Linked DNA regions of Tribolium castaneum. The protein of the gene in region 1 binds, or shares a complex with, the protein of each later gene. Links are inferred from orthologs where the notes say so. Each region holds a gene or a part of one and is shown on either strand. Other genes may lie near its edges. The genes, in order: serine/threonine-protein phosphatase 4 regulatory subunit 1 and PPP4R2r.

Region 1 (2,946 bases):
AAGGTTCTCAACGCATATGTGAAGGAAACAGGGTGCGAACACACCGAAAAGACAGTCAAGAAGTACAACAAAAAATTGAAGAAATTACCGAATGTTGTGATAAATGACGATGTTGTCTCACTGGTGACGAATGAGCAATAAACAATTCCAAATCACTCGTTTTTTATTATAGCTAAATCATATTTGTTCTTAAATAATCATCATCGTCTTGTTGTAAGTGAGTTTTCAAGAACTCCTCAACTGAATCAGTGTTCCACTTTTCAATAGCAACGGTCTCTTGCAACGTCCCATCCTTGTCGTACAATTTAATGATGGGGTCAAGCCCCCTTACGTATTTAATTTGTAGGTTAGGAAATTGCAAAGGCCGGGAACTTTTAATAAACGCCTGAATCTGCGGATACGCCCCAAATTTGCAAGTACAAACCTCTAGAACCGCCTTTGCGTATTTCTTTTCCACGGTGGCTGACTCGTCCTGGTGGCAACACTCCTTGCAATGGTCCCTAAGAAACTAATTAAAAAAAAACGATAATTTGGGACGAAATGCGTACTTTATCACGTCCAGATTGAATTTAGAGAGCTGCTCACATGACGAACACAACAAATTTGCCTTGTTGAAGCCGAGGGCCCAACAGTCTTCTGTAGTGAATTCGGAAAGGCATTTTGTCTGAAAGTTATTTTTAGGGCTTGATTAACACTTGGGAGGGCACTTACGGCACAAAGGGAGGTGAGAATTAACGTAATTATTGAACCTTTCATCATTTTAAACCGAATCAACTAATAAATCAAATTGTTAGGAATTACATAACCTCAAACTTTCTGCACTTGCGCATTATCTATAACTACGTCAGGTAAAGTGTAAGTAGGAAAAAACCTTTACGTAGGACAATTGTTTAAATTTATTGTTTTTACTTATATTACAACTTATAGATAAATATTACAATGTATATAGCTCACAAGATTTAATTAAAATTACAACAAAGTTCATAAACCCAAGAATAAAAACAAAACAACTTTACTGTAATTTATTTAGTCAATGTAATCCAAACTAAGTGTAGGTGAGACCGATTCAAATTTATCACTGATTTCCGCATACTGACGCACATCACGATCCTTATCGGCTTGGAGCCTCCTTATTACAGTTCCTAAACTATCGAAATGTTGATTACTGGGATCCGCAAAATACTCTGAAACCAAAAAAATAAATCACACAAAAACGCAACACTCGAAGCACTCACCGTTGGGAATAACATGTTGTGCGATTGTTTTTGCCACAACTAATCTCACATTAGCCACTGGATCCCAACTCAAGTCCAACAAATGAGGCATAATTTCGGTTGCAAATTTTTCCGCAGGCAAGGCTTTGGCCGATAAAAGTTTGTAACACAGGAGGGCAAACGTTTGTCTCCTCTTCCATTTTTTCGAATGAGCAAATTTCTCCACTAATCTGACTAGGTAAAGTGAGCTGAGATCGGGCTTTGATGAAATGTGCCTCAACAATTCGGTGATCTGTAATTTAAAATTAAACACTGCCACTATTAAAACTAAAAAATAACTACCAAAGAAATCGCAATTTGGCGCACGGCGGAAACATCAAATAGCAAAACTTCCCCAATAACCCCAATATGTTTGGCCGAATCCACTGGTTTGAAGAGTGTAACAATAGACAGGAGCTGCTTAGCCAACTCGTGACGGAATCGCCAATTCCATTCAGTTTCCGTTTTTAAAAACTCCTGTAGCCGAGGCAAGCACGCCAATCTTTTGGCCGGTTTAATAATCTTTAAAAAGTAGGCCAAATTTCGCAAAATTCCTATTCGGACTTCGTCCAAATCCTTGATAAAGCCTTCGAAAATTGGTGTTAAATGTTCCGATGCGATGTCTTGACCCAAAATAAACGCTAATTCGTGTAAACTACTCGCTACAGTTCTTCGTACTTTGTAATGCATATCACTAGCCAATAATTCGATGGTACGTTTTAAAAGTGGCCAATTTTTATTTTCTAACGTTAGTGCGATTGCCGGCAGTGAATAGGCGCAATGGTACGACATCTCGTTGTCTATATTTGAGGAAAACGAAGAATCCGTCATTAAAAAGTAATGAGATATCAACACTTGAGGAACAATGTCTTGCACCGGCTCGGTTTTCGCAACCTCCTTCGACTCCGAAGCTGAAAAAAAAAATCGTGCAATATTTGACCCTCATTTCGCGAGTGCATTTAAGAAAAAACAAAAAAATCATAGTCTGCCTTATACAAAATTATCTTCACGGTTGTCGTTTTGTATGTTCTAATCATTTTTGGTCAGTTAACAGTTAGTTATACTAAGTAACTAGTAAGTAAACATTTACTAAACCTTACCTGTATCAGTTGGGGCATCATTTTTGTTACTTTCGGCCAAATTTTCATTTAAATTAATCTCAGCAAATGTATCTCCTGCCTACAATAAAAAACAAAACGTTTCAGTAAATAAAACTCTGACGCAACGTATTTTTCATCATTGAAATAGTTTCAGAATAACGTTTTGGGTGACTTCACGTACGTCTCAGAAGACCGTCGTTAAATTTCATCACAAAAAAATCTAAAATGTATCATCATAAATTACCAAGAAAATACTTACAGTTACGTCACGAAAATGAGGTATTAACGAGCGTTAAAAATTACACTTAATTATTAAAAAAGCCATGCAATTTATGATGACACACTCGTGACGTTATTAGTAGAAGCATGAATTACTCACCGTTGTATCGTCCACTTTACCTCGATCGATTTGAATCTCCTCGATTAAACTGAGATCTAATGGCATTTCAGGTCTTATATACCAATAATTGTATGAATTGTACAAGTGTAAGTTATCGTCTTCTTTTTCACTCTCACTATTCAAAATTACCTGATTTTGTTCGACGGTTGTTTCCGCACCATCATCAGCGACATCATCACACATTTTTGACGTA
Region 2 (4,438 bases), on another chromosome or scaffold:
TGCAAAATAAAGGAAACTGGTTCAAAGACGAGCAAAATCTAATAAAATGAGCAAAAAGAATATCTACTACTACACTATAATATAATTTGTTTATTGTTAAGCCAATTGTATGTAAATTATAGTACAATTTTTCGAAAGAAAAAATTATTTCCGTTTTTAAAATACACCTAAATGCTCAAAAAAGGTAAAATAGCACCATAGCATAATCCTGGGTTTGTTCTGAACAAAATTTTATAAAATATTTGCATTTCTGACTCTAAAACATGCTCATACACACAAAAAATACAGAAAGAATATTTCCAGCTTAATTTTTTGGTCTTGTCTAAAGAAAAAAAATACATGAAAAAGTTAAAAAATAACACCATTTCCAAAAAAATGTACCTTTTCAGATTTTTTTCTAAGAAATTTTGCACAAAAACTAATAATGTTATTTTCAATCTAATTTTGTAATTTTGCTGTAATCTCGAAAGGGAATAAAAAAATAACAACACTTTCTAACACATTTTGAGTTTTTTCAAGTGCAACAGTTAAATACCATCAGTTTCTTTGAAGCGTTTTAGATGTTGCAAAATAAAGGAGACAGGTTTAAAGACGAATAAAATCTAATCAAATAAGCTAAAAAACATCTACTAATCTACTACTACACTACAACATAATTTGCCAATTGATACTAATTTTAATATAATTTTTGCAAAATTATTTTCGTTTTTAAAATACGTCTAAATCCTCAAAAAATGTAAAACAGCACAATTTTTAGCGTAATTTGGTGGATTTTGGACTTGTTTTGACCAGAATTTTATTAAATTTGCATTTCAGGCTCTAAAACATGCTCATTCTCACAAGAAAAAAAAACTTGAAAATGGTGAAAAATAACTCCAAAAATGCGCTTTTACATGTTTTTTCCTAAGAAATTTCGGTTTCTTCTTGAGGCGTTTTAGCAAGATTTTGCAAAATAAATAAAACTAAACCAAGCGAGACAATCTAAGCTGCGTATTTTTTAGATATTCTTTCAAAAGGGAAAAAATATTTCGCGTTAAAAATACGTTTAAATGCATAGAAAATGCATAGAATCACCATTTTTAAAAAAAGCTGGCAAATTTTAAGCTTCTTTACAACAAAATTTTACGAAATATTTACATTTCGGACTGTAAAATATGTCCACACGCACAAAAAAGGAAGAAATAATGATATTTCCGACTTTCTTTTTCTTATTTCTTAACTTTCGGTCTTCTCAAGAAAATTTTGTTAATATAGCTTAGTTAATACTTAAAAAATTAAAAAAAATAACACCATTTCCACACAAATTTTGCGTCTTTTAGGGTATTTTACTACGAAATTTTGTTCAAAAATGAGCAAATTAAGTGAAACCATCAATTTTCATTTATTTTTGTATTTTTTTGGCGCGTTTTAACAAGATTTTTCAAAATAAAAGAGGCGAATAGAACGAACAAAATTTTGTAAAATCTTGAAAAACACATTGCATTTTATTCAAAAACGTGCTTGAAAAGCTAAAAATAACAATTTTAAAATCTATTTACGGTTTTTTGACTTTTTTTACGAAATTTCGCTCCTAAACTAACTACATCGAGGGATTTTGTGATTTTAATGGTTTGATAACAGTTTTTTAATTTAGTAATTTTCGAAGAAATTTTGAAATTACGAAATCACAAAACTTGGTGAAATTTTGCGAGGCCTGGCAACACTGTCCTGAGTGTGACGTGACCATTTAGCAATTAATGTTGCCAACTTCAAACACATGGACACTTTGATCAAAACTTGGTACTTACACAAGACTCGGTGATTTCTTCGGTTTCTGACGAAACGACCGGTTCGACACTGTTTCGTCTCTTTTGGACCCCTGCAGGTATGGCAGTGATGGTAACCGAGACATCCGTCTCATCTGGGTCTGATCTGGTGCAAGTATTTGATGGCACAGGTTCAATCGAAACGTAGGGCTCCTCTGAGCTTCGACACGTTATGACAGTGTCTTGAGACGAGCTGCAGGCCACATCTGGTAGCTTAGACGCGGTGACCACCGTTTCTTGTACAATTGGCTGGGTTTGAATGTCATTACTGTTGCTATTCTCATTTTGATATGGAACATTTTCGTTCTGTAGCAATCTAGGCCAAGCTGGCGCATCGTCCATTTCTTCCACGTTGATGTCATTGCTGCTATTGCTAGTTTCCGGCAAATGTTCCGACTCCAACCCGTTCATAATGCCCTCCCCGTTCTCCGTGTTCCTCCTGCCCCCAGGTTCAGTGGTGCTCACAACTAGGATATTCTTCTCCAGGGCCCTCATGTACTTGTCTATCCGATTGTACTCCTTCCTCGGAGTCGTCAACAGCTCGCAAATCCTCTGTAACGTGAAGGGGGCCGCCGCAAACGTGTCCAACTTCTCTAAAATAAAATTCTTCATAAGGTCGTAATTGAAAATGTCCACGTTGGGACAAGGGGGTATCTCGACCGAAGGGCACGTCTCGTAGAACTCCGTTATAACGTTAATCATCTTCTCGCGAAAGAGGCTCTTTATTGCCGACCACTGGTACACAGGGTCCCCTGTTTTCGCCACAAAACAAAGGTACTCCTCCAGTTCGCGCGGTATGTCCTTGGGCTTGGTTTTCGAGAATTCCTCTAAACTGTGGAGTATTTCTTCGGGATTTTCCATTATTGTTATTGTTTTTTTCGCGAAATTTTAGCACCACCGATCACCATCTACTTGCGTCAACAAGCGCACCAATGACAATAACGAAGTTAGCGCCGGTTCAATATCATTCCACTCAAAGTAGGACGTGATCGACGAACTGCGCAACCGCGCGCCTATTTTAAGGACGTGGTCATTTATCAATTTAAACGCGAGACAATTTTATTTGATTTTAAAGTACAGTCATTAAAAATTATAATCAGCAACAGCGCAAAGTCTAACACGTGTGCAAAAACCGGGTGAGCGACACCGAGATTTCGCTAAAAATATTTTCTCTGCGAACACTCGGATTTTTTGTATAACTGGTTGCATACCCTGTGGTTTTTAATTCAAAAATTTTTTTTAATTTGAATTTAAAACACACCTTAATTATTTTATTACGTGGCACCTGGAATTTAACGTTACGAAGTCATACTTTATACTCTTTTTATTACGCGTTGTTAAATATTTACGTAAGAAATAATCGTTATTTTTTTGTAAACAGGTGTCGCCCACCGAGCTTGAAAATCTGCTCCTGGAGATGCCCGGAGTGGCCGATTGTGCTGTTGTGGGTATTCCGGACGCTTTGGCCGGTGAAGTGCCCCGAGCTTTCGTCGTGCGCCAACCCGGGAGCAGCCTGAGTGAAGACGACATCCTACTTTACATAAACCCCAAAGTGGCCCATTACAAAAAAATCGCCGGCGGTGTTAAATTCGTCGAGTCGATCCCAAGGAACCCCAGCGGCAAAATCCTGAGAAACGAACTTAAAATAAACGCTTAAAATTCATAATTGTAAGAGAAAAATACCTTGTAAGTTTTATTTTGTACATAGCTTTAACGTGGCTTATGAATATGATATACTCTGTTTATCTTTTATAATACCGAATTGTTTGTAAATATATTATTTGTTATGTATTTGTATCATTTTGCGCACGTATGAGGATTATTTTCTTTTGTAAGGCAGCCCTATACCCGAGCGTAATCGCTTTAAAAGATTTGTGTTAATTAGAATTTAGAACTCTTACAGATGCAAGCGGGCGACTTTTGCAAAAAGTAACACACTGGCCCAGATATAAAAACGAATCAACGTATTGTTTCATTTTACTCTGCTTGTATGTGTTTATTTAATTATATAATAGTTACAGTAAAGAAAATAGATAAATATTTTCTATGTGGAACTAAAAAGAAACTAGCAACAACAAAATTGTTTACCAGCACACAGCACAAAACAGAAATTATTGTCGGTCCGACAAAAACTTTTACTCCTTTCAACAAGCAATAAAACTTGAAGGGCTTGTAGCGACATGCTATTTAGCAAAAACATAAAATGTAAACATTCAAGCAGTTGTTTTACTTCAAAGTAGCCGATGTTGACTAACTTTTTTTGTGTGAAATTGATAGGCCATTAAATTTAATTTATATACTCTACACCGTATTAGCTCCGACTCATGAGCTTCCGACTCATATTTCTTCCCACTGGAGACTTTTGTGCAAATTTTGTTATTGAAAAAATCTTGGTTCAAGTTCACCCGTTTCGAATGTCGCTGCTTTGTGGTGGAAGGAATAAAATAAAGGTTACACGACCACCTCAATATTTTTCTTTTAAATGGGTGTGGTGTGTGTCTCTTTGAAGATAACGGATGTTATAACGAACTTCCGGATATAACGAACTAGATTCGACTTAAAATGTGATGCGATTTTCCGTTTATAACGAACTTTTTATTGAATTTTTAACAGAAAACATTTTAACTGGTGGA

What was found.
Region 2: serine/threonine-protein phosphatase 4 regulatory subunit 1 (region 1) and PPP4R2r share a complex: the UniProt entries of both Homo sapiens proteins name them as parts of the PP4 complex. The link is inferred for Tribolium castaneum from reciprocal best matches to the Homo sapiens genes PPP4R1 and PPP4R2.

What each region holds. Positions count from the first base shown.
Region 1 is NC_087394.1:36,818,434-36,821,379, forward strand, and holds the end of serine/threonine-protein phosphatase 4 regulatory subunit 1, read right to left. Parts: coding exon 2,733-2,946; intron 2,433-2,732; coding exon 2,354-2,432; intron 2,165-2,353; coding exon 1,557-2,164; intron 1,507-1,556; coding exon 1,236-1,506; intron 1,185-1,235; coding exon 1,027-1,184; 3' UTR 760-1,026; downstream 1-759. Other genes in the region: uncharacterized protein C16C10.8, read left to right, coding at 1-141; selenoprotein F, read right to left, coding at 173-500, 549-664, 712-759. UniProt on the Homo sapiens protein: Regulatory subunit of serine/threonine-protein phosphatase 4. May play a role in regulation of cell division in renal glomeruli. The PPP4C-PPP4R1 PP4 complex may play a role in dephosphorylation and regulation of HDAC3.
Region 2 is NC_087402.1:9,726,333-9,730,770, reverse strand, and holds the start of PPP4R2r (serine/threonine-protein phosphatase 4 regulatory subunit 2), read right to left. Parts: upstream 2,810-4,438; 5' UTR 2,667-2,809; coding exon 1,788-2,666; intron 1-1,787. Other genes in the region: uncharacterized protein LOC107397720, read left to right, coding at 3,187-3,462. UniProt on the Homo sapiens protein: Regulatory subunit of serine/threonine-protein phosphatase 4 (PP4). May regulate the activity of PPP4C at centrosomal microtubule organizing centers.